4 linked regions of the Elephas maximus indicus genome follow. The protein of the gene in region 1 interacts with the protein of each later gene in a pairwise test. Links are inferred from orthologs where the notes say so. Each region holds a gene or a part of one and is shown on either strand. Other genes may lie near its edges.

Region 1 (6,898 bases):
TAACTACTACCGCCACCAGGGTTTCCATTTGCTCCTTACCAGTCCTTATTTCAAGTAATACAGCTTCAGTTTTTTGTAAAGGTACATTTCACTTCTAATGTTGCTCAGCCTTAGCCTAATATTGCTTCTTGACTACAACATCGAGAATACCAAGTACAGCATTAGAAGGCTTATTGAAAACTCAGGTCAGGAACTGTGTTTTATGCCTAGCACTCCCTCACGGAGCCTAGCTGTGCCTCACAGTAACAGAAGCAGCAAAAATAAGAATAATGGAAGCTGGCACTACTAAGCACTCACCCGGGGGCCAGGCACCTGGGAGGTACTTAATATACAGCATCTTGTTTAATCCGCGAGACTTCCCCTTGAGGCACCTCTCTTGGGGGATAATGATCTGCTCAAGGTTACCCCATAAGTGGTGGGCAGGGATTTGAAGGGAGGATTCAGATCTCATGGTAGGCAGTCAATAAGTTGTTGGACTATAAACTAGTCAATACAAATAGTAGCTAAACATATCTGCTAGCACTTATGGTTTCCCTTCTGATATTTTAAGGTAAGAATATTACATCCTATGGTTGAATATGGAATTATCAGCAATTCATTGACTTAAAAAAATACTATGTATTAGTTCATATTCAAAGTATTGGGAGCTGTGGTACTGCTATGGCTGCTAACCAAAAGGTTGGCAGTTTGAATCCACCAGCCGCTCCTTGGAAACCATATGGGGCAGTTCTACTCTGTCCTATAGGGTCGCTATAAGTAACAATCGACTCAGTGGCAATGAGTTTGGCTGTCGTAGGCATTATAGATTTAGCATTTCTAACTTTTAAAGGAAATTCAGATAATTAAAAATGTTCCTAAGAAAAAGTGACATGTTTAATTAATTCATTATGCAAATATCAAAACTTCATTTAACTGAATCTATTGATCTCACACTTAAGCCAATTAACTGAACGTGTTTTAGTCAAATGACAGAAAGCAAACCTAACTCGTTGCCGTGGAGTCAGTTCCGACTCAGGGTGACACCATGTGTTACAGAGTAGAACTGCGTCATAGGGTTTTCTTGGCTGAAATATTTACAGAAGCAGATTGCCAGGCCTTTCTTCTGAGGTACTGCTGAGCGGGTTTGACTGGCCAACCCTTAGCTTAGCAGCTGAGTGCAAACCGTTTACGCCACGCAGGGGCCTTAAAGCTTTTAAAAGGTTTAAAAACAGAAAAACAAAAAATTTTTACAAATTCTTAAGTGAGAGAAACAATTTTCAGTTATATGTATAGAACCACCAAGTATTAACACCCTTCTCACCTCTAAGTCCGACAAGTCAATCAAATGTCTAATTGTTCTTGCATCTCAATTGTCACAGAGATCATTTCAAATGTCAAACTTAGAATTAATAAATTCACTTAGAGGCATACACGCACAATCAGTACTGATGACAAGTTTGAAGCACGCTAATTAAAAGATCAGTGACTCCAGAACGTCTCCTTCGACTCTACACACTTGAGAATGTATCAGTTGCGTTCTGAACGTGACGAAACTGGTAGTGAGTTTTCAAGCTTCCCTGTTAACACCAAACTACACGAGCGAGGCTGAGACGCACAACACCGCTCGGATTATACTGAGAGTCTTGTTTCTATGGGAGGAAAAAAAACCTGCATAAGACAAGTCTTGTCTTCCTCTAGGGCCTGGAACCCCCCCAGACAGTAATGAAAAGAAATGCCTTGAGTCACAGGGCAGCTCCGCTCTGGCAGCCTGTTCTGCTACACCCCATACCTAACGCATTAAGCGAAGGCCAATTTTTTTTTTTTTTCTGGTGGGGGGACCACATCATGTTCAACGAAGGGAACAATCTTAATCACACCCAGCTCCTTTCTTCACAGCTAAAATCTTAAACGCTTCTCCCAGAGAGCAAATTGACAAAAGCAGCACAAAAAGAGTAGATGGGAAACTTAGGGGGCAGTAAGTTTATGGTAACGAGGGAGGAACAACTCAGAAAAGGAGAGGGGGGAATGGTTGAACAACTCGAAGAATGTAATCAATGTCACTGAATGGGACGTGTAGAAATTGGTGAATTGATGAATGCTCTGCGCACATTCCCAACAACAAAATGAAATGAAATATATTTAAAAAGTTTCTCTAAGAAATAGCAAAAATAATCATCTAAAAGCCCTAGAACCGGCGAAGCGCAAGTCGAAGATATCTCATCACAAAGAAGTTTGGGGTCGCCAACCCCGCCCAGGAAAACATTCATCCAACATTATTAACTTGGCCACTGTTGCCCACGAAAGCGCTCAATGGGGTGCATGGGGCACGAGAGGATCCTATAAAAGCCGACGGTCCTTCTTTTTTTTAAAAGGCGACTCTAAATCCCACCTAACCGACAGGCAAGTAAGGGGAGCGTGGGGAGCAGCGCTGGGAGGGGAGTTGGGCATTCGGCGACTCCGGCCCCGGCGCCCACCGCGGGCCCGGGAGCAGGGCAGGAGCTGGAGGGTGGAGTTCACTTTCCCTCCAGCCGGCGCTCATTCCCTCCTCCACGTACAAAAAAAGGCGGAACCAGGCCCGCGCAGCCCGGTCCCGGGAAGAGGGGAGGGGGTCCGCGCCGCCGCCGCCCGGCCCGGGGAGGGGAGGCCGGGCCCGGCCCCTAGGCGAGCCCGCGGCTCCGGCCTCCCCGGCCAGGGCCGCCCCCCGCCCGCGGCCCGACCCCCGCCCGCGGCCGCCCTGCCCGGCCCCGCGCACTCACCCGTCTCCCACCACCACACACTTGATGGCCTGCATCTGGGCCGCTCGCGGGGAGGCGACGGCGGCCGCGCGGTGAAGCAAGAAGCGGCGGGCGCGGGGCGCGGCGGGCAGGCGCGCAGCTGCGGGCGGCGGGGCGCGAAGTGCCGGGGCCGCTGTCCACGCCGCCTTGCGCTCAGCAGACTGCGAGCCGGAGCCGAGCGGCAGCCACCACCCAAAGCTGGAGGAAAACTGCAGAGAAACAGGAAATGGCCGCTCCACTCACATCCGGCCTCCCCTCCCCCGCGCCGGCGCCGCCGCTCCCAGGCTCCGGGGCGGGGCAGCGCCCGCCGGCCCGCCCGCGCGGCTCCCGGGGGGCTCCTCTGGGCTTCGGAGACGCCCGGAAGCTCTCGGAAGCGCTCGGCTGCGACCGCAGGGCGAGCCTCAGAGGGCCGCTTGGCGGGCGGGGCTCCTCTTGGCTTCGGAGACGCTCGGGAACGCCCGGAAGCGCTCGGCGGCGGCTGCGGGGAGGGCTGCCATCTTGGGGTCACGAGCCTGTCTCTGGCCGGTCGAGGTTGTGGGGGCGCCCTGCGCCTCGGGGACCGGCCTTGGAGTGGGGGATTCTTCTCGGCACAGCCCCCAGGATTTAGGCATTGAAAGATGCACTGAGTTCCAGGAGCCACGCTTACGCAGATCAGCTCCTGTCCGAGGTCATCTGAAGGGTATTGATTCCAGCCCACACTTTTTATTATCCATTTTATTGTGATAGTCACCTAAGGTCTTTCTAGAAAATTCGGAACCGAAAACTATATCAAAACATACACCGCACCAGTGTTCAGAGAGAACCCATGTTCATTCAGCAAAAGAAAGTGTTTAATTTTCTTCTTCTGTGTTATCATCTTGTATTATTTTTAAAATGTATTGAGGGCCAACTGTGCCCTATGTTTTGTACCAAGTTCTAGAGATGAAACTGAACAAAAATGCCCTTGTCTTTATACCAAAGCACTAAAGTTCGGTATATTTCCTAGTTAATTTTTTATATACGTAGAGAACCAAACCCACTGCCGTCGGGTCAATTCTGACTCATAGCGACCCTATAGAACAGAGTATAACTGCCCCATAGAGTTTCCAAGGAGCGCCTGGCAGATTTGAACTGCCAGCCTCTTGGTTAGCAGCCGTAGAACTTAACCATTACACCGCCAGGTCTTCCGTACGTACATAGAGAACATGGTTTTAATAAAATTGAGAGATCAATGTTAGAACATCGTTAATGGCTGCTTGCTATTCTATTATGCCCACGTAACTTAACCAATTCTTCTGTTACTGGACAGTTGGAATGTCGCTAATCTTTATTATAAACAATGCTGGAATGAGCGTGTTTATGGAAGAATGTTTTCCTATAGTTTTATTTCTTTGGACTACCAGTAACCAGTTGTTGTTTAGGCGATTCTGACTCATGGCAGTCCCATGTGTGCCCATGTATGTCAGATTAGAGCCATGCCCCATAGGGCTTTCAGGGGCTGACTTTTCCGGAGTAGATTGCCAGGCCTTTCTTCTGAGGTGCCTCTGAGTGGACTTGAACTGCCAACTTTTCAGTTAGCAGCCAAGCTCATTAACCATTTGCATGACTACTTTTACCATAAATGCAGTTACTGGGTCAGTACCTGTGAATGTTTTTAAAGCTTTTATACATACATGTAGTTGAATTGCCCTCCTGGAAGCTGATAATCAGTTTACACTCCTATCAGCACTGTTTGAGAGTGGACCCTCCAGAGAAGTTAATTTCCACTTGTATTTTCATCTTAGTAGGACCTTCTTTCCCTATGACTTACTCTTTTGCCCAGTATTGAACCAGTTTTCTGAAATCAGACCCTTTGAATACAAGTATATATTTTTTTTAATTTTTAAAGCATTTTTGGCTTACAATTATTTCAAAATAAACATATTCCCAGGGCAAAGGGCACCTTCTTTTTGCTCTGTTCATAAAGATCACCCTTGAGGAATAGTTGAAATTTCAAAGGTGATAGAGAAACAACATCCTGTTTTCTGTCACTGCTGAAAAAATTTTCTAGTTGACAAACCTAACTACTCAGCATGATTACCTTCATGTGTTACCAGGGCCAGATAAAAGGGTGGGGACTCATCAGTAATACAGTTCAAGAAATATCAGTGTTGTGCTGTTGTTTTGTAATGAACTGGTAGTAAATAAACCAGACAGAGACATAGTTGCCAGGACACCAGGCCTACTGTGCTCATTGTTATAAGTAGATTACAAGTATGGTGGTTATCAGAAGGCAAAGCATGGAAAAGATATTCATGCCTACAAAAAGGTTTTCTTCAAAGAGATGACAGTTGAGCTGAGAGTTGGAAGATGGATTTGGATAGGATTTTTAGTGGGTATTGATGGAGCAAGAAGAAAAGAGTTTTCCACAGAGAGGACTTTATTCATAGGTTACATGGCCAGCAGAAGAGTAGGCTGTCCTCAGATGTGACACAGAGAAGACAAGCGTTTGCACTGTTCAGGTCTCGAATCCAGAGAAGTATTCACAGGCTGGATGACAAACTGCATTGAATCTGGACTTTATTCTTATATTCCTCATTTTATTAATTCAAGAAGTGACACAATAAAATTCAAATTATTATTTCTCCAGATTGGTAAAGTAGAAGTCCACTATAAAGAGGTTCGACTGCGAAGCAACCAAACTAATGTTCAGTGCACATATAAAAATCATTCTTAATTTAAAACTCAGTGATCACCCTTCTCCAAGTTTTTCCTTCAGTATCTACTTATAATTTTCCCCACAGAAACAAGTGATCAAAAAAAGTTCCAATTAAAATTAATAAAAGCAAATAAATACTCAATTAGACCATGCGTGTTTCTGAACGTGCTACCTGGTTAACTCATTTATCAAGTGTATGGAATCCTGTACCCTGTTTAGGTCCTTCATTCAAGGTCATTCATTTACTCATTTCCTGAGCACCCACTTCTGTTCCATTCACTGTCTAGGCGTTGAAAGTGTGAAATGAACAAAACAGAGCCCTGCCATTGTTGCTAGGAGCTCCAGGTTCTGCTCAGCACTACTCCATCCAAAATCACAGAGACTGAGTTGGGAAGAGGGAAAGGCAAGCAAGAAGACAGTCGCGACTTTGTGCCATCCAAGACTGCCTGGCGGGCAGTTTGTTAAAAAAAAAAAGGCTGGTTTATATAGGAAAGATTAGTTTCAGAATACAAAATGGTGCAGGCACAGAGCATTTTAAAATGAGTAAGCATTTTCTAAGTCCTGGGTTCAATTCCTCATGGAGGAGGAAGTTAGCCATTTTTGTTTGTTAGCATGTTAGCTCTCAACCCAGGTGCAGAGAATTTACCACACATGAGGCAGTTAATGAGCTAAAGGTTATCTCTAGTGCCAAGATGGAGGGCAGGACCTGTTTTGGTCGATTTTGGCTAGCCGGTGGCTATTTCTTTTCAAAGAAGTTCTGAGAAGAAAAACAACTTTAGGAAATGGGCTGGGTGAGGGGCTGTCCTGAGGAGACAACAATTTTAAGAAAATGGCTGTAGCCCTGTCTTATCATCAGAGAATCTACATTCTAGTAGGGGAGGTGCATAATGGGCAAGTAAATATACAATACAGTGCAGTTCATTTCCAGGTTAAGATGGTGGATCACAGAGATCTAATTTCATGTCCACCAAAAACCTTGTAAGAACTTCAATAAAGGAATTAAAAAGAAAGAAAGAAAGAATCTTGGAACAGGGAATGGGGAAAAAGACATCCTGATGTCAGAAGCTGAAACCAGATAAGTAGATGAGGGGACAGAGTGGTTGCAACTGACTTAGCCACCTGAAACAGACCTAGACTGGTAGTGAGAAAAGCTGATCCACACCAGCTCTGTAGCAGAAAATCAGAGGCTCAAAACCAGCAGCACTGGGTCTTTATGGATGAAGGGAAAGATAAGGAGGATGGGGCGAAAGCTGAGAAGCTTGGAGCCCCCTACCTTGCCTCCCACCATGCACTAAGCAGAGGGGCCACCTTCCCTCCCCTCTACAAAAGACTGGAGATTCCTTTCTAAAACAAGATGAACCAGGGAATCTTTAGATAATGAGACAAAAACAAAGGAACTTAGTAGCCTTAGGCAGAGACCTCAGTCCCTCCCAGCTTTCACTTTGCCCCTATGGCTCCAGGAAGCCCA
Region 2 (7,446 bases), on another chromosome or scaffold:
TGGGCAGGTAGATTTACCTCTCTGGGTTTCCTCTCCGCCTCCCCAAGGTGGGTAGCACAAAGCATTGACTTTCCATTTTTTTCGTTAAGCAGGAGCTCCTTTCCTTTTATTCCAAATGAAACCTATGCGGAAGCCCACAATATAAAAAGTAGGTGAAAGAAGAGCTGCGGAAAGCTGCCTTTGAGCTATCTGCACAGAACCCCAAACTTCCCCAGAGCATTCTGTGATCTAGGATGCTGTAAGAAAGGGGCAGGGCTAGCAAGCACCCCCCAGCAACTCTCTCAGCCTTGGAGAGAGGATACAGAGAAACAGCCACATGGGGGAGGGAAGGTGACATCCAGGCAGCATTCGTACTGTACCTGGACCTTAAAAAAAAGGCCCCTGCAAAAACAGGTGAAGGAAAGTATTTGATTCTGAACTTCAGAGGGTAGCGGTTAGAGTTCTCTCTGATACAAAAACAAATGAACAAACAAAAAAACCTCAATCGAGGTGATTTTATTTCACATCTACCTCTCAAGATGATTGGTGAGGATTAAATGAATTGCCTCAGTTATGCTTCAATTCCAAAAGGCGCAATTTTGAGAACTGTGGTCCCCCAAACTCAAAAACACTAAGCCATTTGTCCTAATGACACAGCAGGCTCTGAACTCTGGGATCCCACAGGAACATCACACGACTACAAATTACTAGGTGGTGCTGAGTCCCTAAAAAAAACGAAGGCATTGCACTGTTGTGAGATGCACACTTGATATGGACTAATCAAATGGTTTTTCAGATTATTTCCCGGGAGGCAGAATCTCTTCATAGTTAAACGGCACTTAAGTTTCCCCCTTTGTTGTAGTTATCTGTGTATAAACACACGGCACATATAGTGGTGTATTTTCTCTCTCTCTGAAGTTTCTGAAGACAAGGCCTTTTTGTCGTGGATAAGTGCAGGGCCAGTCAACCTTACAAAAGGAATCATTTAATGCTCCATTTTCCCAACTTTCCTATGATTGAAACGTCTAACTTCAAACGCTGTTATTGTGTTCTAGATTGCTTTCCTTCCCCCTCCCCCAATAAATGTTTAAATTGTCTCTACTTTCCCGGGATCGCCCCCCTTCTTTTTTCAAGCTGACCTTGAAAACAGGAACGCCCTCCTTTTCTTTCCACAGCGCCCAAACTATTTTAAAATCGAGCCCTCTGACCTTTTTACACTCCTCTTGTCCCAGACACCAAATGAAAGCCAGAGGAGGTAAAAAGGGCCGGGGGGCGGGTGGTGGAGGGAGGGAGATACTATATATATTCAGCATTCCTTCAGAAATTCAGCAAATGTTTTTGCAACCACTCCCCCAGTCAAGATCCCAGCTCCTGCCTTCCAGCACATTAGTAAAAAAAGATGCGGGCGAATGAAATTGGAGGCAGGGAGGGACACCTAAGGCAATCTCATAATTATGGGCCCAGGGAAGCCCCCACAGGACCAGGCTACAAAATCCGCGCCCCCCAGCAACCGAAGTTTAGGATCTGGTCCCCTCCAGCTCCCACCCCACCCTCAGAGTAGCTGGTTAAGCTTGGAGCAGCACCTCCCAGTAACCGCTCTTTCGAGAGACAAACGGAAGGGCTGACCCAGCCTCTGCACGTCGGGGTGGCAGCGCTGCGCGCCCTAAGAATCATGTACGTTCTTTAATATATATATATATGTATACCATGAACGCACAGGCCTGGAATTACTTAACTTGTGAAATGAATCTAACACACCCAGAAGTGTCCATCTCTCTGTCAAACAAAAAGAGAGAGAGAGATAGGAAAAAAAAAAAAAAAAAAGGCGAAAGCACATTACCATCTTGTCCCGAGTTTTCCAGATACTCCGTCAGGTCACAGCCGAACGCACTGGCGGCTCCCTTTCGTTTCAGCTTCTGCTTGGCACCCTTGTTCTTCATGAGTTAGTCCCAAAGAGGCTGCCCCTCCGTCTCGCCCTCCCCTCTGCTTGGCCCCGCGCCGGAGACGGTCTCCCGGCTTAGCTCACTGGCTGCAGCGCGGCTCTGGGGGGCCGCATGGGCGTCCGCAAGGCCCGGGGGCGCGGGAGCGCACAGGAACCCCGCGGGGCGCGGCGAGCAAGCCTGGGATGCACCCCGCTCGCCGGGGCCGCGCCGCGGGGAGGCCGTGCGGAGCTGGCAGCTGCGCCCCGGCTGGCTGGGGAGTGTCACTTCCTCACTTGGAGTCCCAGGGACTTTCACAGGCTCCTGCCGAGTCTTCGGGTGCTTTTCCTCTGCCTCGGAGGGAGGGGAGCGCCCCCCCTTTCCGCCTTCCTAAGTGCTCGGGAGAGGACGAGCGCGAGGGGCGAGGGGCGAGGGGCGAGGGGCCAGCCCAGGGGCCGCCGTGGGTCCGCGTCCCCGGGCCCGCTGTCTTGCCTTCAGACGGCCGTGGTGAAATGAAAAACAAGCATCCTGTCTCTCTCGCCCGCCCTCACGCCTTCCTTTTTTTCCTGTCTTACAAATCCTAGGGTCATCCAGCTCAGGAAACGCTGGAAGGAAGTTAGCCAGGGAGGGGGGCGGAGGGGGACGTTTTTGGCAGCCCCGAGCTGGTGTGTGCACCGAGCCGGAGGAAGTAGGTGGGTGGGTTGAGGAGGACGCGCTGGGGGGAGAAGGCGCTCTGCGGAGGCCGCCGCGCGCCCCTGGAGATGGCTCCGGGCCGCGGGAGGAAACCGCGCTCTCCCCGGAGGACCCGCACCCACAGCCGCGCGCTTCCTGCCCCGGAGAGGCTGCCTTTGAAGACGGCGGCGGGAGGCGCCCTGGCCTGCAGGCTTGAGGGGGCTAGATGGCACCGCAAACAAAGTTCTGCCTTGTCCTGACCCTCATTGTCATCACGGCTTGGACACGTTCTAGTTTGGTGCCCGCCTTTCTCCTAACACACACACTTGAAGAGTAATGACAGGAACAAAGACGGGGATTCCAGCCGAGAAGCCTGACAGAGCGGTTTCTCCTGCTGTCCTCCCGGACGTCGGTGTACCCCGAACCCCAGCTCATTCCCGTCTCACGCTGAGGCAAGAATACCCTTGGGCGAGGAGAGGCTGGGGCTTTGTAATCACTTCCCGGGAAATCAGATTCCTGGTGGCGGATTCAAGTACACACACACACACACACACACACACAGGCTTTACGACAAAGTTTGCTCAGTTGAATTGATTTAAGACATCCCTGAGATTCTAGCATAACGTGGAGGTTGTAATCTCCCTGGTTGCTTCATAAATTGTCTCAAGTTCCTTCAGCAGGGCATGTTTTTTGCTTCTTCAGTTAGATTTGAAATTCCTAGACTTCTGTGTATTCAGCACACAGTGAGCACTCAAATTCTTGTGAGTTAACCGTTTGGGGATTAGATTAAACTTCCTGTATAAATTCAAATCAGTGTATAGGTTTGAAGAGTAAGGGCATTTCTACAGCTCAGATTGCTGGCAAAAGCTTTATTTATGGTATTTTAGTTATGGAATCCTTTTACAATCACTTGTTGCCCTATGTATCACCATGACAGTTTATGAACTTTGACCCTTGCCCTTTTCTCTATCTCAGAGGTCACAACTTGGTAGCCTGCCTGCTGAATCTGGCCCACAGATGTGTTTGGTTTGGCACATGCCATGCTTAAAAGAAAAAAAAAATTTTTTTTAATTAGTAGCTAACAATAAAGAGTTAAGAGATTTCACACTAGAAATCTGGATTTCTGGCTTCGTTTGCAAAAATGGAAAATCTGATAACATTATAAATGCATTCCCACACAGCAAGGTCGGGCTGGAGCCCAGAGGTGGATACTCCCTTTGAGGCATCCTCTATAGAGAGGTGAGCCTTCCTGCCTCACAGCCCCCACTGCTGTCTTCTTCCCTTTGCACCTGCCTGGCCCCTGGAGCCACTTTAGTTTTTGATTCAAGCTCTGTGGAGTGTCCTTCCTTAAACACTTCCCATCCGTCTCTTAGTGACACCAGGATTGCCGTAGTCATCAGTCAGCCTGGCGAGACACTTGAGGTAACCACTGCCTGACTCATTTCTCTCTTTTTATCCCATCTCCAGTCTAGTCCCGCCCAGACCAATGAGTCGTTCAAATGCCTCTCGTGTCAGTTTCTTCCTTCCCAGGCTCACTCAGAGAGGGTCATCCCACTCCTCCATTATTAGAATAACTCCTAGTGTGAATGGCTGAGTCCAGTCTCTTCCCACTTCATCCACCCTAAGAACCTAAGGCCTGGTAGATGACTCTCCCTGAAGTATGACTTGTTTTATGGCAGCTTTTCGAAAAACCCTTCAATGACTCCTTGTTTCCTATTGCCAGGGCAGCAATTTCGAAACATTTTGCAAACTGCTTGAAGAATATTTGGTAGGATATGTAGTACAAATGGCTTGCACTCTCCTTTGCTTATAGTCCTCCATCTGGGGATATAGTTATTACTATTAAGATTTGTGTAGTTTACTCTAGCAAGGACGTTCGTAGTCTTTATTTCATCTGACTTACAGTGGATTTCATCACCTTGTCAGTAAAGGAAAGAGGGAGAAAGGGTACTTTTTCCTGGGTCCAGCCCCCCAGAGCACAAATTATGGATGAACTGCCAACCCTTGTGAATTACCCTTTCAAATATTAAAAAAAAAAAAAAAGGTTTAACTTTTCATTTTGAAATAATTTCAGCACATAAAATTTTCAAAAAATAGTACAAAAAAGAATGACTATATGCTTTTTACTCAGTTTTATCAAATATTAATATAGTATACAAACAAAGTATAATCTTGAAACTAGGAAATTTATATTGATACAATAATATTAACTGGTCAACAGAAACCCAAAACCAAACCAAACCTATTGCCGTCGAGTCAATTCTGACTCACAGAGTAGAACCGCCCCATAGGGCTTCCAAGGCTGTAATCTTTATGGAAGCAGATTGCCACATCTTTCTCCCGAGGGGCTGCTGGTGGGTTTGAACCACCAAATTTTCAATTAGCAGCCTAGTGCTTAATCACTGCACAGCCAAGCCTCCTCTAATCAACAGACCTTATTCAAATGTGAATTATCTTTTAATTAAATAATTTTTTATTAAATATAACTTTTCCTCACAAAGTTCATCAATTGAGTATGAGATCAGTAATTTACAAATAGTTCTCAGAACACGTCACAGTGTATTAGCTTTGTACAAGATTCCCTTAATTGCCATCTGTGCTCCTGGCAGAGAGGCTTTGTCTAACCTCCTTGTCCAACTTCACAAGGGAGAGAGAGAATCAAGATCAACATCAGCCCAAGACTGATGATTCCTGTGAGGTGGAGGTCAGACATACCTCTGCCCTCCAACCTTTTTACCAGTTCTGACACCAGCCCTCCCTCCCACGTCACTCTCTACTTCTCTGCTGGGTTCAATAATTCATTGCAGTGACCACAAAGAATTCACAGAACATACTCACAATTATGGGGTTTATTTGGGAAGTAACAGGCTACAACTCAGGATCAGGATAAAGAAGCATGTAGGCAAAGTCACAGTTATGAGGATCAGGAAAGACTCAGAATATAGTTCTTCTGTCAGGACAGCTTCTCGGCTGTGCCCATAGGCAGGACTCTTCCTGATCCTTGGCCTCTTGGGCCAGCCCAGCCTCTGCCCTGCTTGGGTAAGGGTTACAAAGCTCTTTAGCTCTGCCAGTAAGTGCCCAGGAGTACCCGACTCCACCAATAAGCCTTGGCCTACAGGTGCTCAGCTTTCTAGCTCCATGGGCTGGCATACCCACTGTAACTGCCTTGCTCTGTGGGCCCTGGTTCTGCTGCTACTGTTTCTCTGCCATCGTGTCTCATCATCTTATGCTGTTTGCAGTGTTACAGCTCGCCCTCTGTCTCCTGTGTCTAGGAGGTTCTCCACACAGGACCCCAGGTCCAAAAGATGCACTCTGCTTCCATCTCTTCTTCTTGGTGGTAGCGAGGTCCACTCTTCTGCTCTGGGATGGCTCATTTTAAGCCTAGTGGGAAAGCAAAACTGACCAATCCCTTCATTAGGATCCCGTTCAACTTATTTGCATGACTCCACCCCCACTAGGGTTACATGTACCTTATTTGCATTATTAGCAAGCTGTCCAATCCCCTTGGTGGGCCACAAGCACCTTACTTGCATAGTCCCACCCAGTCATTTGGTAGGAGTCACAAGACCGTGTGTGGTTAAAATGACCATATTAAGTAATTCACTGCACCACACCATCAAAACCAGCAAGTGTAGGTTGTCACAAAACAGGGCTGCCCAGATAGACCAGAAAGACTTGTGCCCTTCCTTAACACAGCCCTAAGAATCTGCTCTGCTTTCCTCAGAATTTCTAAAAGGAACTCCACTGTTACAGAAATTTTCATCTTGAAGCAGCCTGAGAAAACTTTTGGTCCCTGGTTCTTGATAAGTTGGATTCAAGATGTTAAGGGTTTGGATTAAGATAATACTGATTACCTGGTAATGTATTGCTATGCCTGGACTGACTGAACACACCTTATTTGAAATGTGCACATGGTGGTTCTTTGTCTCTATTTGATAACTCTCAATTTTTTTTTAATGGTGGCATGAATTCACAACTTAAGAAGCCAGATAATGCAACCACAGAGTGACAACATTACTCAGGCATCTAGAAAGCTGTCTTCCACTCCTGTCTGCTCCCTGCCACTTCTTAGTGCTGAGGGTGCCCCCTGATAAGTGCCAAACGTGGGTCCAGTTCTTCTTCTGGGCTCTCTTTTTGCTTTTTCTCTTTCCTTCCCCTACTTTTCTGTTACCATTTCTCTTCTACTTCTTGCTGGGTCCGTGGGTCTGTGGGGAAAGTCAGGTTTGAGTTCAAAGGGTTTTTCCATTGGGCTATGAATTTCCTAGGAAGCAAGGTCATATGGAGATAGTGTAGAAATGTTAACTGAAGGGCTAATTGAGCTATTTGGTGATAACATAAATTATGCCCTTAGCAGATTATCATGGTACACATTTAGGAGGAAACCACTTTACTCTCAGGGAGATATCACGGAAGAATTCTGTTGTTGCCTATGAGCCATCTTATCTGCAACTGTTGAAGTGTGCCGTCCGCCACCTTCACTCACCAGGGATGGTAGCAATCATTCTGCCTTAAATCAATAGCTTAGGAGCCAGAAAGGGGGTACTGGGAGATTCAGTGTCACTTGTGAGCTAGCCCTTTCTTTTACCCAGTCTGTCCATAAAACTAGAGACAGCAATCAGCAATTTTAGAGTTCTCCCTCCTCTCCTGGTGCCTGACTAGTTACTCTTATGTCATTCCTTATCCATGGACTGTATCATGTTCTGAACTCCATTTCCTAGGATACTAGAGAGTTAGCTCATCCTCCTGCTGGATATATTTCCCCCTTCCCACTCCCCATTATTAAAAGTATTCATGTGGTGTCTAGGTTCAACACTGATTATTAGGTGAGGCTCTTCTCTAAGGGGGATCTTGTACCATCCCTCAGCCCTGCCACCAG
Region 3 (7,253 bases), on another chromosome or scaffold:
AGCCACACTGTACAGACGTGACCTGTTTCGGGTATTTAAAAAGTTGAAACAACTTTCTCGTCATAGAAGGTTCTTACAGTCCTCCTCTGGGGCAGCAATGCCAGCAAACGCTACAGCTGCTTTGTAAAAAGAGTTTTATTTCATTTAAGAAAACCAGACTTCAAAAGTTAAGTATTCAGCCCAGCCAGTGTCTCTGGGTGGTGTGGTCAGTCCACACACCCAGAGGTGGCTCGTAAGAAAGGGCTGGCTACCTACTTCCAAAAAATCAGTCTTTGAAAACCCCATGGAGCACAGCTATGACACACACAGCATCACCGTGAGTCAGAGGTGACTCAAAGGCAACTCATTTTTTTCCCTTTTGTTATTCAACCCCAGGTCTCCTGATAAATGAATGCTAGGTTAAGTGACAGATGTGGAGTGCACGCTGTAGGAAAAAGAGCCCAACCAGTGCCTACTCATAGCAACCCTACAGGACACCACAGGACTGCCCCACAGGGTTTCCCAAGCTGTGAATCTTTAAAGAAGCTGACTGCCACATCTTTCTCCTGCGGAACCACGGTGGTTTTGAACCACCGACCTTTCTGTTAGCAGCTGAGAGCTTTAACCACTGTGCCGGCAGGACACCTCCACCCATTTCCTTATACCCTCTGTCCTGGAATCAACCACCAATGTAATACAAATGCATCTCGGCACAAACTTCATTTCTTAATGGAAAATATGCACTATTTTACTTTCATTAATCATTTTAAAATCTTCGCTTTGGGGAAAAAAAAATCTTTTTCCCCTGGTGGCTTAAATGTCTATGAACCTTACTTTACTGTGATCCAACCGAAGGACATTTTCATATCTTTGATGAAGGGGTATTTTCGTACCATGAAATCAATCTCAGTTCTGATAAACGTTCTATGAAGTAGACGTCTAAAATGGAATGGAAATTTTTGTGGGTTTCTTTCAAGGCCTTACCAAATGACCAAATTTGGACTTCTCAGGACAGGGCACAGATTGGAATAATCGGATAATGACTTAATCCACAATTCACTGCACATTTGTGATACTGAGAATACTGGAGACATTGTTTCAGTAGTCAAGTGACTAAAAACAAGCCAGAAAATTATATGCTAATGAAGTGACTGCTGTCATCATTAGCTGCCATCAAGTCAGCCCCAACTCATGGCGACCCCACGCACAAAGGGATCAAAGCACTGTGATCCATAGGGTTTTCACGGCCTGATATTTCAGAAGTAGATTGCCAGGTCTTTCTTCCTGGTCTTAGTCTGGAAGCGCCACTGAAAGCTAATCGGCATTCTAGCAATTGGCAAGCTTCCACTGACTGACAGGTGGTAGCTGCATTTGAGGTGCACTGGTTGACGGGAATCGAACCTGGGTCTCCCTCACGGAAGGAACAGGGAAGTGGAAATAGGAGAGATGGTGCTTCCAAGGCATCCATCCTCACTGAGGAGGCAATGGATACGAATGCAGAAAAAAAGACACATTTCTAAAGACCTGAGCAAGTGAGCGTCCGCTGCACCTGCCCGGCACCTCCATTCCAGGTGACTCTGCTCTGTGCTCTGTTCAGCTTCATACACAGAAAGATGGTGGACCTGGAGACCACCCTAAGCCCACTGTCCTGTGTTGCTGTTTAAAATCCTAACAATCCTACCCGCTTTTGCTCACTTTGGTGTTACCTAGACCCTGGTCATGAATGCTGGCAACAAAACAAGGGAGGGGACGTAGTGATACAAGAAGTCGCGCACTGTGTGACCTTACAGAAATGCTCAGACAGGAGCTGTGTCGCCCTGGCAAGAAAGTTTCTCTTCAGGCCTCAGTTTACTCATCTGCAATACCAGGATAATAATATCTCTTTTCTAATTGTGAAAATTAAATGAGACTATGTCTCTAAAGTCCTCGGAGCACACCGCCCCTCTCAGGACTTCTGTGCCTCCCTTCAAATATTCCCGGCAGAAATGTAGTCACCAGGTAGTGTGTCAAAATCCACGTTCTCTACTCTGCTGTACTAACACTTCAAGCGGCGGCGCTAGCTGCAGTTTGGGGGTCGTCTCTCCGTTATAGGGCTTTGATCCTTAAGCCAGACCCACAAACCAAACGGCAATCCCTGGCTTCCTCACCAGCCGGTGCAACAGAAGGGGAGCGACCGGCGCACTGGGACCGTCATGAATGTGTAACGCGCCCCGAGAGGGCGCGCGCCCTAAATCGCCGGAGCCCGGCGCTCGGAGAACTCGACCCTCCGCGCACAGGCCGGCGGGCGGGCGGGCGCGGACCGAGAGCCTGGCCCGGGAGTGTCCCCGACCTCCGTCCCCTCGCCATGCCACTCAGAAAGGCCGCCCCCCACGCGCGACCCCCAAGTCCCGGGGACGGGAGGTGCCCTTGCTCGGTTTCAGCAAATGCGGGGTCTCCGCTCTGGGGGCCGCCCCTGGGCCGGAGAGGAGGGGACCGGGGCCAGGAGAGGAAGGGGCAGGACCCGGGCCCGGTGAGGAGGGGACCGGGGTCAGGAGAGGAAGGGACCCGGGCCCGGAGAGCAGGGGACCGGGGCTCGGAGACGAGGGCACCGGGGCAGGCGCCGCACTCACCGAGCGTGGCCACCGTGCCGGCCTCGAAGAGCAGGCAGTCGCCGCGGCCGCGCGCCTCCAGCAGGACGCTGCTCTCCCCCGCGGGCTCCAGCCGCGCGAGCAGCCGCAGCCCCTTGCTCAGGGACATGGCCGGGGCCGGGATCCGGGGCCGGGGCCGCGTCGGTCCCCGCGCTCCCCGCCGCCACTTCCAGGAGTTTCACTTTGTGCGGCGCTCCCGCCGGGCGCAGGCTCCTCCCCGGCCTCCTCCTCTTCCCAGCCTCCTCCACCTCCTCCTCTTCCTCCGCCCGCGGGGCAGGTGAGAGGGCGCGGCCCGGGCCAGGGGGTTCCCCAGAGGGGAGGCCGCGTAGGGGCTGATCCTGCGCCCCAGTGGGAAGAGGGCTTCCCGGGGCGAACAGCTGATAGGAAGATGCCAGGCATTCTTCTCTGCGGAGGAGGATGAAGGCCGGGGGTGCCTGGTGCCCTGTGTAATCCTGAAAGGACGTCCGGGGCCTTATAAGGACAGCAGGCCGGCGGGCCTGCGAGGCTGAGAGCCACTGGGAGGCGGCCAAGGCCTCCCCACTGCGGCCAGGCGCTGCGCCCCCTCTGCGGTTCACCGCTGCCACCCTGAGCAAGTCAGTACAACGCTCTGTGCCTCAGTCTCTCTGTCTGTACAGTGGGAGGGAGTAATAGGGTAGCGGTGAGGAGAAACCCATTGCCTCAGAGTAGATTCGGACTCGTGGCGACCCCATGTGTTACAGAATAGAACCGTGCCCCATAATGTTTTCTTGGCTGCAATCTTAAAGGAGTCTCGTCTTGGCGCAAATGGTTAAACGCTGGACCACTAACTGAAAGGTTAGCGGCTCAGACTCAGCCAGAGGTGCCTCGGAAAGGTCACAGCCTTGAAAACCCTATGGAGCGGTACTACTCTGAGGCGCATAGGGTCGCCATGAGTTGGAATTGATGTGAGGGCAACTAGCAACAACAGATTGCCAGGCCTTTCTTCAGCAGCAGTGCCAGGTACGTTGGAACCTCCAACCTTTAGGTTAGTAATCAAGCACAAACCAGTTGCACCAGCTAAAAAATTAATTTGGTAAAGCCTCAGTAAGCGCCTGGCACAGAGTGTTCAGTGTTGCCTTTACCACTTTCTATAAATGACGATTTGCAGTCCATTGTCCATGCCAGGTGGAGCTGTTAGGGACCAACAGGACGTTGTCATGGAAGGGACAGAATAGGCCCATGTTCTCCAGACCATGGTCTGCTACTCACTGTGGGACCTTGACCTTAACTTGTCTGCACCTCACTTTCCCTGTGGGCACTGAGTGCTAGCCCAGACCTCTGCTCTGTCTGTTTTCTGCAAGCTGGGGGAAGGTGGACCGAGGTTTGGAAGTTTCATTTCTTTCTCTTCTGATGAGTAAGTCCAGATGATCCCAGAGACTTCCATGGGGGTGTCTCCATCAGTCCCCCAAACCAACCTGGTCCTCTCTCCCTGCCCCATCTTGTTCGAACTGAAGACTGTGGACCAAGCCTTTACTCCTGGAGTTGTTCCAGAAGGAGGCAGTGCCCGAGCGCCGAGTGGACACTGTGATATCTTACAGACATTCAGGAATGGCCAGACCAGGGTTCTGCTATTTGTGGGAAACCTCTCGAGTGATGATTTGGGGAATAAAGTAGATGTGAGGTGGACAATGGGGGCTGAGATTTGAATCACTCTGGAGCCTCCTGCTCTTTCCTTCACAAATTCAGCTCCCTGTGGTGGATATCCCATAGCTGTCTGAACAGTGTCTGTATCTGTAAAATGGAGATATTACTACCTCAGGAAAAAGTGTGCCCATTGAAGAAGCTGCTGGCCCACTGCTATGGATTGAATTGTGTCTTCCAGAAAGATAATGTTGAAATCCTAACCTGTGAATGTGACCTTGTTTGGAAATAGTCTTTGAAAACGTTACCAGAAAATATTATCACAAGGCCATACCAGCGTAGGGCGAGTCCTAATCCTGTATGACTGCTGTCCTTATGAGAGAGGAGAAGAAACACGTAGGAAGAACAGCCATGTGATGACAAAGGGAGAAACAGCTGCAAGTCAAGGAACGCCGTGGGTTGCAGGGGACTACCGGAAGCTAGGAGAGAGGCATGGAACAGACTCTTCCTCAGAGCCCTCAAAGGGATTCAGCATGGCTAACACCCTGATTCGGAGCCCTGGGGGTGCTAGCCAGGTCGGCAGTTTGAATCTACCAGGTGCTCCTTGGAAACCTTGTGGAGCAGTTCTACTCTGTCCTGTGGGGTCGTTGAGTTGAAATCGACTCAGTGGCAATGGGTTTGGTTTGGTTTTGGAATAACCTGATTTGGGCTTTTTGCCTCAGAGCTGTGAGACAATAAATTTCTGTTCTTACGAGCTTTCCAGCTTATGGTGTTTTGTTTCAGCAGCTCTAGGAAACTGGTACACTCGCTTTTCCTTTCCTTTTAAACCCAAAGATCGCTTCTTCCAGGACGCCTTCCTGAAATACTTGAGGTTTCAGTTAATTGTGTCAGAATGCACTCACATTCACACTTCAGTTGGCACTTGCTCACAGATTATTTGAAAAATGTTTTTATATCTCTTTTTTACAAATAGCCTTGTTTGACAAATTACAGGTAGTCCCCGTTTTACAATGGGGCTCTGTTCCAACAACTCTGTCATAAGTTGAACACCTCTTTTGTTTGTTTTCATTTCAAAACACAGCGTTTTGGACAGTAAATCATAAAACTGAATGACAGTGAGTGAACACCTGAGAATGATAATGAATTAGGCACTGCGACACTATATGTACTACATGTTACTAAAGACAAGATGTAAAAAAAGGGACATCGTAAGTTCATTGTAATTCAAATACGTCGTACGCTGGGAACTTCAATTTTTTTTTTATATATATATTAAAAAAAAAAAAACCCTTACCATTGAGCTGATGCTAACTCATAGTGACTGTATAGAACAGAGTAGACCTGCCCCCATAAAGTTTCCAAGGAGCAGCTGGTGGATTTGAACTGCTGACCTTTTGGATGGCAGCCTTAATGCTTAACCACGGTGCCACCAGGGCTCCACTTGTATGGTACACAGTAAGGTCATTGACGGGGGGACCAAGTCTTTCAGTTATTTTTTTCTCTCCCCCTCTTTCCCACCTTCCCTGGCAGCACATAATTTAAAACTCTACACATGAGTGCTATACATATTTTAGAATTTTTTCTACGGGCAGAGACCAGCACCTGAGCTTTACAGCTTCTAGAATCTACTGTGCCATCAATCTAAGGTGAACCACTACTTTATGTACCACTGAAAAAAAAAACACTGCTAATGAAACTATATATATATATATTTTTTTTTTTTTAATGAAACTATAGCAAGCCACCGATTGGAAGATAGGCCCTGATTTCGGCAATGTTCAAATGTACATCTTAGACTCCATGAGATGTAGTAGCTGTTACCTGGGAACTGCCTGAAGGAGCCGAGAGCCTGCTGGGCCCGGGCCTCTGCCCTCTGGTTTCCACAGCAGCAGAGGAGGTGCCGTGGTGATGAGCATACCGTCTTTGTCGTGTGAGTCGGGTCATGGGGCACCAGCACGTTCAGCAGATGAACAAGTAACTTCCTTTCAATGTAGCTGAAACAGAGGCCCGGCTGATCCCTCAGGAGCTCTGGTGTGGGTGGCCCTCAGACATATCCCAAATGAACCCACTCCGTTTGTCCATTAGTCATTGGATTCCAGTTGCCTCCGAGGGGGGATAGTCTCGGGCAAGGCAGGTCCCTTCAGCCAAGAGTGACATCCCCAGCAGCTGAAGAGGAGCCTGGGGTCACCACAGCACCCTGCACCCATGTCACCAGCCTGGGCCAAGCATAACCATTAGCCTGGGTCTAGTCACCCTTCTTCCTCCCTCGCCCCCTGTTAGGGATTGAATTGTGTCCCCCCCCCCCCGGCAAAATATGTTGGAGTCCAACCCTGTACCTGTGGATGTGATCCCGGTTGGGAATAGGGTTTTCTTTGTTATGTTGAGGCCATATCAGCGTAGGCTATATCCTAAACCTAATCGCTTCTGAGTTACAAGGAACAATATAAACACAGAGACAAGGAAGGACAAATGGAGGAAGACAGATGCCACATGAAGATGGCCAAGAAATCAAGGAAAGCCAGGACTGCAGAAGCTGAAAGAGACAAGGAATTCCCACCCCCCAAGCTGACAAAGAGAGAAAGCCTTCCTCTAGAGCTAGTACCCTGAATTCAGACTTCCAGCCTCCTGAACTGTGAGAAAATAAACTTCTGTTCGCTATAGCTACCCACCTGTGGAACTTCTGATACAGCCTCACCAGGGAACTAAGACACCCCCTCAAGCTGCTCGAGTACCTTGTTAAAGCAGTCATTCTGATCAGGTCACAGCATATCCCCTCGGTAGAAGCCGAAGTCTTTGCTGTGGACCCCACGGCCCCACAGCATCTGTGGTTTCCCTGCTGGGTGCTTGGTTTGGCTCACCTGCTACGCCCCAGGGCCTCGGCCTCAGGGCCTTTGCACCTGGCATACTGTTTCCTTGATTTCCAGGTGACTGTTCTCTCACTTCTGTCAGGCCTGTTGAAATATCATCTCCCTCATGAGGCCCTTCTGAGACTCCCTATGTAAATTTCCTCCAACACCCCCAACATTTCACATCGCCTCTCCTGCTTTA
Region 4 (6,970 bases), on another chromosome or scaffold:
ACTGTTTATATTTGTACACTATCTGAAACCTGGTATATTTTAGCACTAAAATTAAAAGAGTTACTTTTATTGAAAGAAAGGATTCTATGGGAATAGTTCTTTGCTGTAATAATGAATTTCTCCCCTCTTCACATCCATTCTCTAATTTGACTTGACCTCATAGTGTTAATCATAAAAATGTCAAAACTTAGATCTGGAAGGTTCCTGAGCCCAAAGCCTTCATTTTTGAGATAAGGAAACTGAAATTCATGAAATGACTCACCAGTTAGGTGGTGGCGCATTGGTGACAGCTTGTGTCTAACAAGCTTCAGTAAAGGTTATTTCTCCCTAAATGTCAAAGTTCTGAAGGAACAAAACATTGAGGTGATTCCTAAGGCGATCAAGCCTAACACAAAACTAATCATATGCTTCTGGTTCACTTTGTATCTTGTACGTAACTGTTTCTAATAGTTAACTGAAAGGGAAAAAAAAATACCCTAAGAAGTTGGTGGTGGTAAAGTTTTGTTAGGAAATGGAGTTTTCTAGAAGAGTTGTTGAATCGTTGAGGAAAAAGAAGTTATTCAACTGTTAAATATTATCTTACATTTTAAAAAGCAAAGCCCAAATAGGTTCAATAACTTCCTGAAGTTCATAAGGTACTATTTGACAAATTTGGAGACTAAAATTTCAGTCTGATTTTCTGACTGGCGGGAGATAAAATTGGTCATTTTTAAGTTGAAAGAGTTTGTGGCCTGCCACACAATTCAAATGTACCTGTGTAAACAGGAAAATGACAAAATCCCATGGGCTTTATTTTATTTTTTTGCAAGTGTTCTAACCTGCAGATCTCCTTGACAACCTTTTTTGGTTATATAACCAATGACAAAGCAAGGCAAACTTTCCCCATCTAGCTCTCACATTTCCTCCTCTCTCTTGGGGGAAAAATGTTTGCTGACTGTTGCGTTCTCAGACAGTTTTAGGATGTTGAATCAAGTCACATACAGGGCTGTGACCTTCAGGGGATCTGAAACCTTTGGGGGAAAGGAAGAAAAGCAGACAAACGGGCACCAATCCAACTGCCCGCTCCCCACCCCCACCTTCAGGTGCAGCCAAACACCCTGGCCCTTTGTGAGCTCAGCCCATCACGTGCGCACATCTGCTAGCCAATCCTGCCCTGTTGCTGGGCTCCTGTCACTTTTCCATTGGTGCCAGCTCTGAAGCAATCTATTCTGGGATGCTTGCAAAGGATGGATCTGTGGGTGGAAAGAACTGGAAACAGATCCAATGACTAATCCTGCTTCTCGCACATTCTAGTACATTGCATTGTAGGTCAGGGGTTTTAGGTTTTAGGAACGTGACTTGATACCTGACTCCAGAGTCCAAGGGGGACATTCAGACTTTGGGCCTTGGTGGCCTTCTCAGCAAGTAGAAAAGCAGTTGTAACAACAAATCCTTCTGTAGAGCAGCGATTGTCAGTCTCAGCCCTGTTGACATTTTGGGCTGGATAATTATATGTTGTGGGAGGCTGTCCATTTTAGAATGTTTAGCAACATCCCTGGCCTCTCCCCACTAGATGCTGGTAGCATTCCATAACCCACAATTGTGACAATCAAAAATGTCTCTAGACATTGTCAAATGCCCCGTGGGGGACAATATTGCTCCTGGCTGAGGCCTACTGCTCTAGGAAACCACCCACCTCTTTAGGGAGGCCATTGCTGTCCCCTAAGCTCCTTCTCCCCAACTTCAGGGTCCTCAGGGAAATGTTTACTTCTTGTTTGTTTCAACGATAACCCACTCTCGGACTTAAAGTTAGGGAATACGGGGGTGTTTCAGAGATTTTTTCTGCTGGAGACAATAAGTACCCTCCCAACTAACAGGAACTTTATTTTCTTTGTGGAGGTAACCCTTGGCCTAATCCTTTCCTCCTCTTTCTTTTTTCCTCTTTGCCTTCTCTTCCTCCTCTTCTCTCTCCCCTGCCTCTGAAATCAGGGATGTTTTTCTCTGTACCTTTTGACTCTGAAGATAACCATGTCACATAGCTCGTGACTCAGCCTTTAAGCAACAAGAATTACAAGACTTGCAACAGCCAAAAGCAAACAGGGTGTGGTTTGAAGCAGGGCCTGGTCACCTTAGAAAGAATCTGTTTTTCGTTCCTTTAACCGAAATTTAAAGAGAAATAACCTCATAGCGAACCTCAACTTTTTGTTTCTTTAACGTCTCTTTCCAGAAATTTAGAGAGAAATAACCTTCACAGAACTCTGTATTGGAAGGCATTGAAAATGGCATTCCATTCTTTATAACTCATTTTTAATTTTCCAGTAACACATTACTTCATTGTCTTGGAAAAATGCTTAAAATTACAGAGGTTAAAATCTATTTTGAACAGCACTCAGATCTTTTGTGTTTTCATAAATACATACACAGGCAACCATAAAAAATATATATAGCATTTGTTTTGGTTTGATTAAAATTTTAAGTGTGTTTAAAAATAACATCTGTAACTTAAAACAGGAATGTATTCTATTCCTGATAGCAGAAAAATTTTTTCAGTCAGCTGGCTCTTCTGTCTCTTGACTTTTTTAAGGTTAGAAATTAAAATACGCACATTTGTAGATGCAGGGAGTATTTCTAGAAGAATCCAGATGGAACGGTGGCCAGACAATTGAGGGGAAAGAGGTAGATTTCACTGTGAACTTATAAAAACCTGTTCTGAATTCTCACCGTGTTAATATATTTTAAAACAGTTAAAAAATAAGCTGAAGAAGTGACATAGAGATCATAAAAATAAAAATCTGGGCTGGTGATCGTTTTTCTTCTCTTGTATAAAAATGGAATTTGCCTGTGGAAGTAAATTTCATACTCTGGATATTTAAATTTTTTTTCCCAAAAATATACAAGGCTGAGACTCAATTGGTGTCAAATTTTAAAATGAGTCCTAACTGCGTTCGATTTCTGAGCTGAACTGAACATCAACAGAAGTGAAATTTCGAACGCCTCTTGTTTACAGTGAAGTGCAACCTTTACAAAAACCCAAGGCCCCAGCGAATAAACAGGAAGCTAAAGAACAGCCTAGAAATTTCTGTGTGTCAGCTTTCAATTCCAGCGCAAATAATTAAAAAAAAACTGTGGGATTTCCTTTCTTTTTCCTAATTCAATCCAGGCACGCACATTCATTTCTCCATTGGAAAACTGTTTCGTTTGTTTTTGAAGATTTCCTGTCCTTAGGACCAGACTTTAGTTGAGGCCTGGATTTTGGCCTTGGCCTTTGTCCTGGCCCAGAGGCTGGGCCGCAAATCTGAGATTTGTCGAGTCATTCGCCTTGTCCCCGTGCCAGCTCCGTGGGGGGTGGGCAGGGCCGCCTCAGCAGGGGTGCTGGGAACCCAGGGGACCCTCACGACAGGCCTTGGTGGTGGGGGGACACAGTGAAACAAACACTATAATTATTTCAAATGTGAACCAAAATAACGACCCCTGGCTTCGGATGGGGGCGGGGCGCGCCAGAGGGGAGGCGGACCCAGACTGAGGCGCTCGGCCCGAACCTGTCGCCCGCCAAGAGCTGGTGTCGCCAACGGCGGGGACGGTTGCTGTGGGGAGGGGGGGCGTCGGGGTCGGGCTACCGGCCACGGAGGCCCACCCGCTCCGGACACCCAGGCGGCTCCGCGCCGGGTTTTCGCGCCGCCGCGAGCCGCCCCCACCCGGCACCCGCTCCCTCTCCCTTCCCCCAAGGCGTGATGCGGTCACGTTCGGTCGCAGCGCACTGTGTACGCGCTGATTCCTCCGCCAGGCCCCTCGGGACGGTGATCCGCTGCCCACCCGACCCAGCCCGAAAGCCCCAGTCTTGACAGGAGAGCATTTTATGAGGGGACTTGGATGAGTTTGGGGTCTAGTTTTCTTTCTAGGTTGCCAAAGGGGCTGGGTAAAATAGTTCCTTCTCGGCGTTTCTGCGGAGGAATCTCCCTGGGGCGGAGGCCTGCTATGACTATATAAAGAAGCGCCGGGTGTGGTGCAGGGACGTCCGTCGAGGTCGGTGTTCGTTTCTGTTTCTCTTTGCGTTCTCTGTTTCCACAGCCGCTTGGTGAGTAGGATCCTGCTATGCTGGCCCGGGAGCCTCGGGGCCGTCCGGCTGCGAGGGGTGGGGGACAGACAGTGCTGCTCGCTGCGGGCGAAGGGCAGCCGGGGCTTTTAGTCTCCTGGGTCCTGCAGCAGGGTGGCCGTGAGGGGGACGAACGCCGCAAAATGGCGGTCGCTTCTGACTGAAAGGTCGGAGAGAGGAAACTGAGGGAGGGAAGGTTGTGAGGGGAGAGAAGCGCCAGGCCGCCCCCAGGGCTCAGCGGAGGGAGAGCGAAGCTCAGGTGGGCGTGAGCTTAGGCTTCTGTCGGGCGGGCTTGGGCAGGGGAACCTGACGTTGGCGTCTGAGTTTTGGGGAGTGACTGGGAGTAAAGGCCGGGTTGCCGGCCGCCGTGGCCGTGGCCAGCTCTGCACCTCAGCCCCCGCCGGAGAGGGAGCCCGCGGCCGCAGCGCTGGAGCGTGACGTCACCCGCTCTGTTCGGCGCACAGTCTGGGGTGGGGCCGCCTGCCCGTAAATGTGTGGGGGAGCTTTGTGGCAGTCACGGGGCGACGCAGAGTGTGGGCCTGGGGGAGCCCCTGCTGAATCGACGGGGGACAGACGTTCTGGCGGGGGAGGCTGCCGAGTTTCTACGGTCAGGGTGCCTGCCAGCCTGCCTTCGTGAGGGGCTAAAATCTGGGGTTTCAGGTGATTTGTCATATCTGTTAGGTTTGTCACTGGTTATATCGTGAAGTTTTTTGGGAGAGAATTGTTTTGTTTTTTTTGGTCTAGTAAAAAATTGTTATTTTTTGGGTTAGGAACGTAGTGACGTTTGAATTACCTGCTAAAGTTTTGGGTCCTTTGTTTCTTTCTGTTCTCAGACAATGCAGATCTTTGTGAAAACCTTAACGGGTAAAACCATCACCCTTGAGGTAGAGCCCAGTGACACCATCGAGAATGTCAAGGCAAAGATCCAAGACAAGGAAGGCATCCCTCCTGACCAGCAGAGGCTCATCTTTGCCGGGAAACAGCTGGAAGACGGACGTACCCTGTCTGACTACAACATCCAGAAGGAGTCCACTCTGCACCTGGTTCTCCGTCTGAGAGGGGGAATGCAGATCTTCGTGAAGACCTTGACCGGTAAGACCATTACCCTTGAAGTAGAGCCCAGCGACACCATTGAGAATGTCAAGGCAAAGATCCAAGACAAGGAAGGCATCCCTCCTGACCAGCAGAGGCTGATCTTTGCCGGGAAACAGCTGGAAGATGGACGTACTTTGTCTGACTACAACATCCAGAAGGAGTCCACTCTGCACCTGGTTCTCCGTCTGAGAGGGGGAATGCAGATCTTCGTGAAGACCTTGACCGGTAAGACCATCACCCTTGAAGTAGAGCCCAGCGACACCATTGAGAATGTCAAGGCAAAGATCCAAGACAAGGAAGGCATCCCTCCTGACCAGCAGAGGTTGATCTTTGCCGGGAAACAGCTGGAAGACGGACGTACCCTGTCTGACTACAACATCCAGAAGGAGTCCACTCTGCACCTGGTTCTCCGTCTGAGAGGGGGAATGCAGATCTTCGTGAAGACCTTGACCGGTAAGACCATCACCCTTGAGGTAGAGCCCAGCGACACCATTGAGAATGTCAAGGCAAAGATCCAAGACAAGGAAGGCATCCCTCCTGACCAGCAGAGGCTGATTTTTGCCGGGAAACAGCTGGAAGATGGACGTACTTTGTCTGACTACAACATCCAGAAGGAGTCCACTCTGCACCTGGTTCTCCGTCTGAGAGGGGGAATGCAGATCTTCGTGAAGACCTTGACCGGTAAGACCATCACCCTTGAGGTAGAGCCCAGTGACACCATCGAGAATGTCAAGGCAAAGATCCAAGACAAGGAAGGCATCCCTCCTGACCAGCAGAGGCTGATCTTTGCCGGGAAACAGTTGGAAGACGGACGTACCCTGTCTGACTACAACATCCAGAAAGAGTCCACTCTGCACCTGGTCCTCCGTCTGAGAGGGGGAATGCAGATCTTCGTGAAGACCTTGACTGGGAAGACCATTACCCTTGAGGTAGAGCCCAGCGACACCATTGAGAATGTCAAGGCAAAGATCCAAGACAAGGAAGGCATCCCTCCTGACCAGCAGAGATTGATCTTTGCTGGGAAACAGCTGGAAGATGGACGTACCCTGTCAGACTACAACATCCAGAAGGAATCCACTCTGCACTTGGTACTTCGGCTCAGAGGTGGAATGCAGATCTTTGTGAAGACCTTGACTGGTAAGACAATCACCCTTGAAGTAGAGCCCAGCGACACCATTGAGAATGTCAAGGCAAAGATCCAAGACAAGGAAGGCATCCCTCCTGACCAGCAGAGGTTGATCTTTGCCGGGAAACAGCTGGAAGATGGACGTACCCTGTCTGACTACAACATCCAGAAAGAGTCCACTCTGCACCTGGTCCTCCGTCTGAGAGGGGGAATGCAGATCTTCGTGAAGACCTTGACTGGGAAGACCATTACCCTTGAGGTAGAGCCCAGCGACACCATCGAGAATGTCAAGGCAAAGATCCAAGACAAGGAAGGCATCCCTCCTGACCAGCAGAGGTTGATCTTTGCCGGGAAACAGCTGGAAGATGGACGTACTCTGTCTGACTACAACATCCAGAAAGAGTCCACTCTGCATCTGGTCCTGCGCTTGAGGGGAGGTGTTTAAGTTGTTCCCCCTTTTCTCTTAAGCTTTCAAGAAATTTCATTGCACTTTTCTTTGAATAAAGTTGTTGCATTCCAAAATACTGTTCTTTATTTTTAGTGCTAAGTCACGTTCCTTTGGGGCTTGGTTGGGGAATTAAGGTTTACGGTTTTTGAAGTGTTCAAGTGGGAACCTTGAGGAGGTGAGATGTTGGCCTTGAAACATGACCTCAATACATAAATTAAGTGGATGGCTA

What was found.
Region 2: the proteins of RAC1 (region 1) and ARHGAP31 interact in a two-hybrid assay, tested with the Homo sapiens proteins (2 studies listed by BioGRID and IntAct, with this or other methods). The link is inferred for Elephas maximus indicus from reciprocal best matches to the Homo sapiens genes RAC1 and ARHGAP31.
Region 3: the proteins of RAC1 (region 1) and SYNJ2 interact in a two-hybrid assay, tested with the Homo sapiens proteins (2 studies listed by BioGRID and IntAct). The link is inferred for Elephas maximus indicus from reciprocal best matches to the Homo sapiens genes RAC1 and SYNJ2.
Region 4: the proteins of RAC1 (region 1) and UBC interact in a two-hybrid assay, tested with the Homo sapiens proteins (2 studies listed by BioGRID and IntAct, with this or other methods). The link is inferred for Elephas maximus indicus from reciprocal best matches to the Homo sapiens genes RAC1 and UBC.

The regions. Positions count from the first base shown.
Region 1 is NC_064830.1:100,915,360-100,922,257, forward strand, and holds the start of RAC1 (ras-related C3 botulinum toxin substrate 1), read right to left. Parts: upstream 3,008-6,898; 5' UTR 2,771-3,007; coding exon 2,736-2,770; intron 1-2,735. UniProt on the Homo sapiens protein: Plasma membrane-associated small GTPase which cycles between active GTP-bound and inactive GDP-bound states.
Region 2 is NC_064819.1:9,631,670-9,639,115, reverse strand, and holds the start of ARHGAP31 (rho GTPase-activating protein 31), read right to left. Parts: upstream 3,017-7,446; 5' UTR 1,920-3,016; coding exon 1,820-1,919; intron 1-1,819. UniProt on the Homo sapiens protein: Functions as a GTPase-activating protein (GAP) for RAC1 and CDC42. Required for cell spreading, polarized lamellipodia formation and cell migration.
Region 3 is NC_064819.1:230,244,241-230,251,493, reverse strand, and holds the start of SYNJ2 (synaptojanin-2), read right to left. Parts: upstream 3,003-7,253; 5' UTR 2,716-3,002; coding exon 2,589-2,715; intron 1-2,588. UniProt on the Homo sapiens protein: Inositol 5-phosphatase which may be involved in distinct membrane trafficking and signal transduction pathways. May mediate the inhibitory effect of Rac1 on endocytosis.
Region 4 is NC_064840.1:5,697,696-5,704,665, forward strand, and holds UBC (polyubiquitin-C), read left to right. Parts: upstream 1-3,946; 5' UTR 3,947-4,054; intron 4,055-4,905; 5' UTR 4,906-4,908; coding exon 4,909-6,738; 3' UTR 6,739-6,817; downstream 6,818-6,970.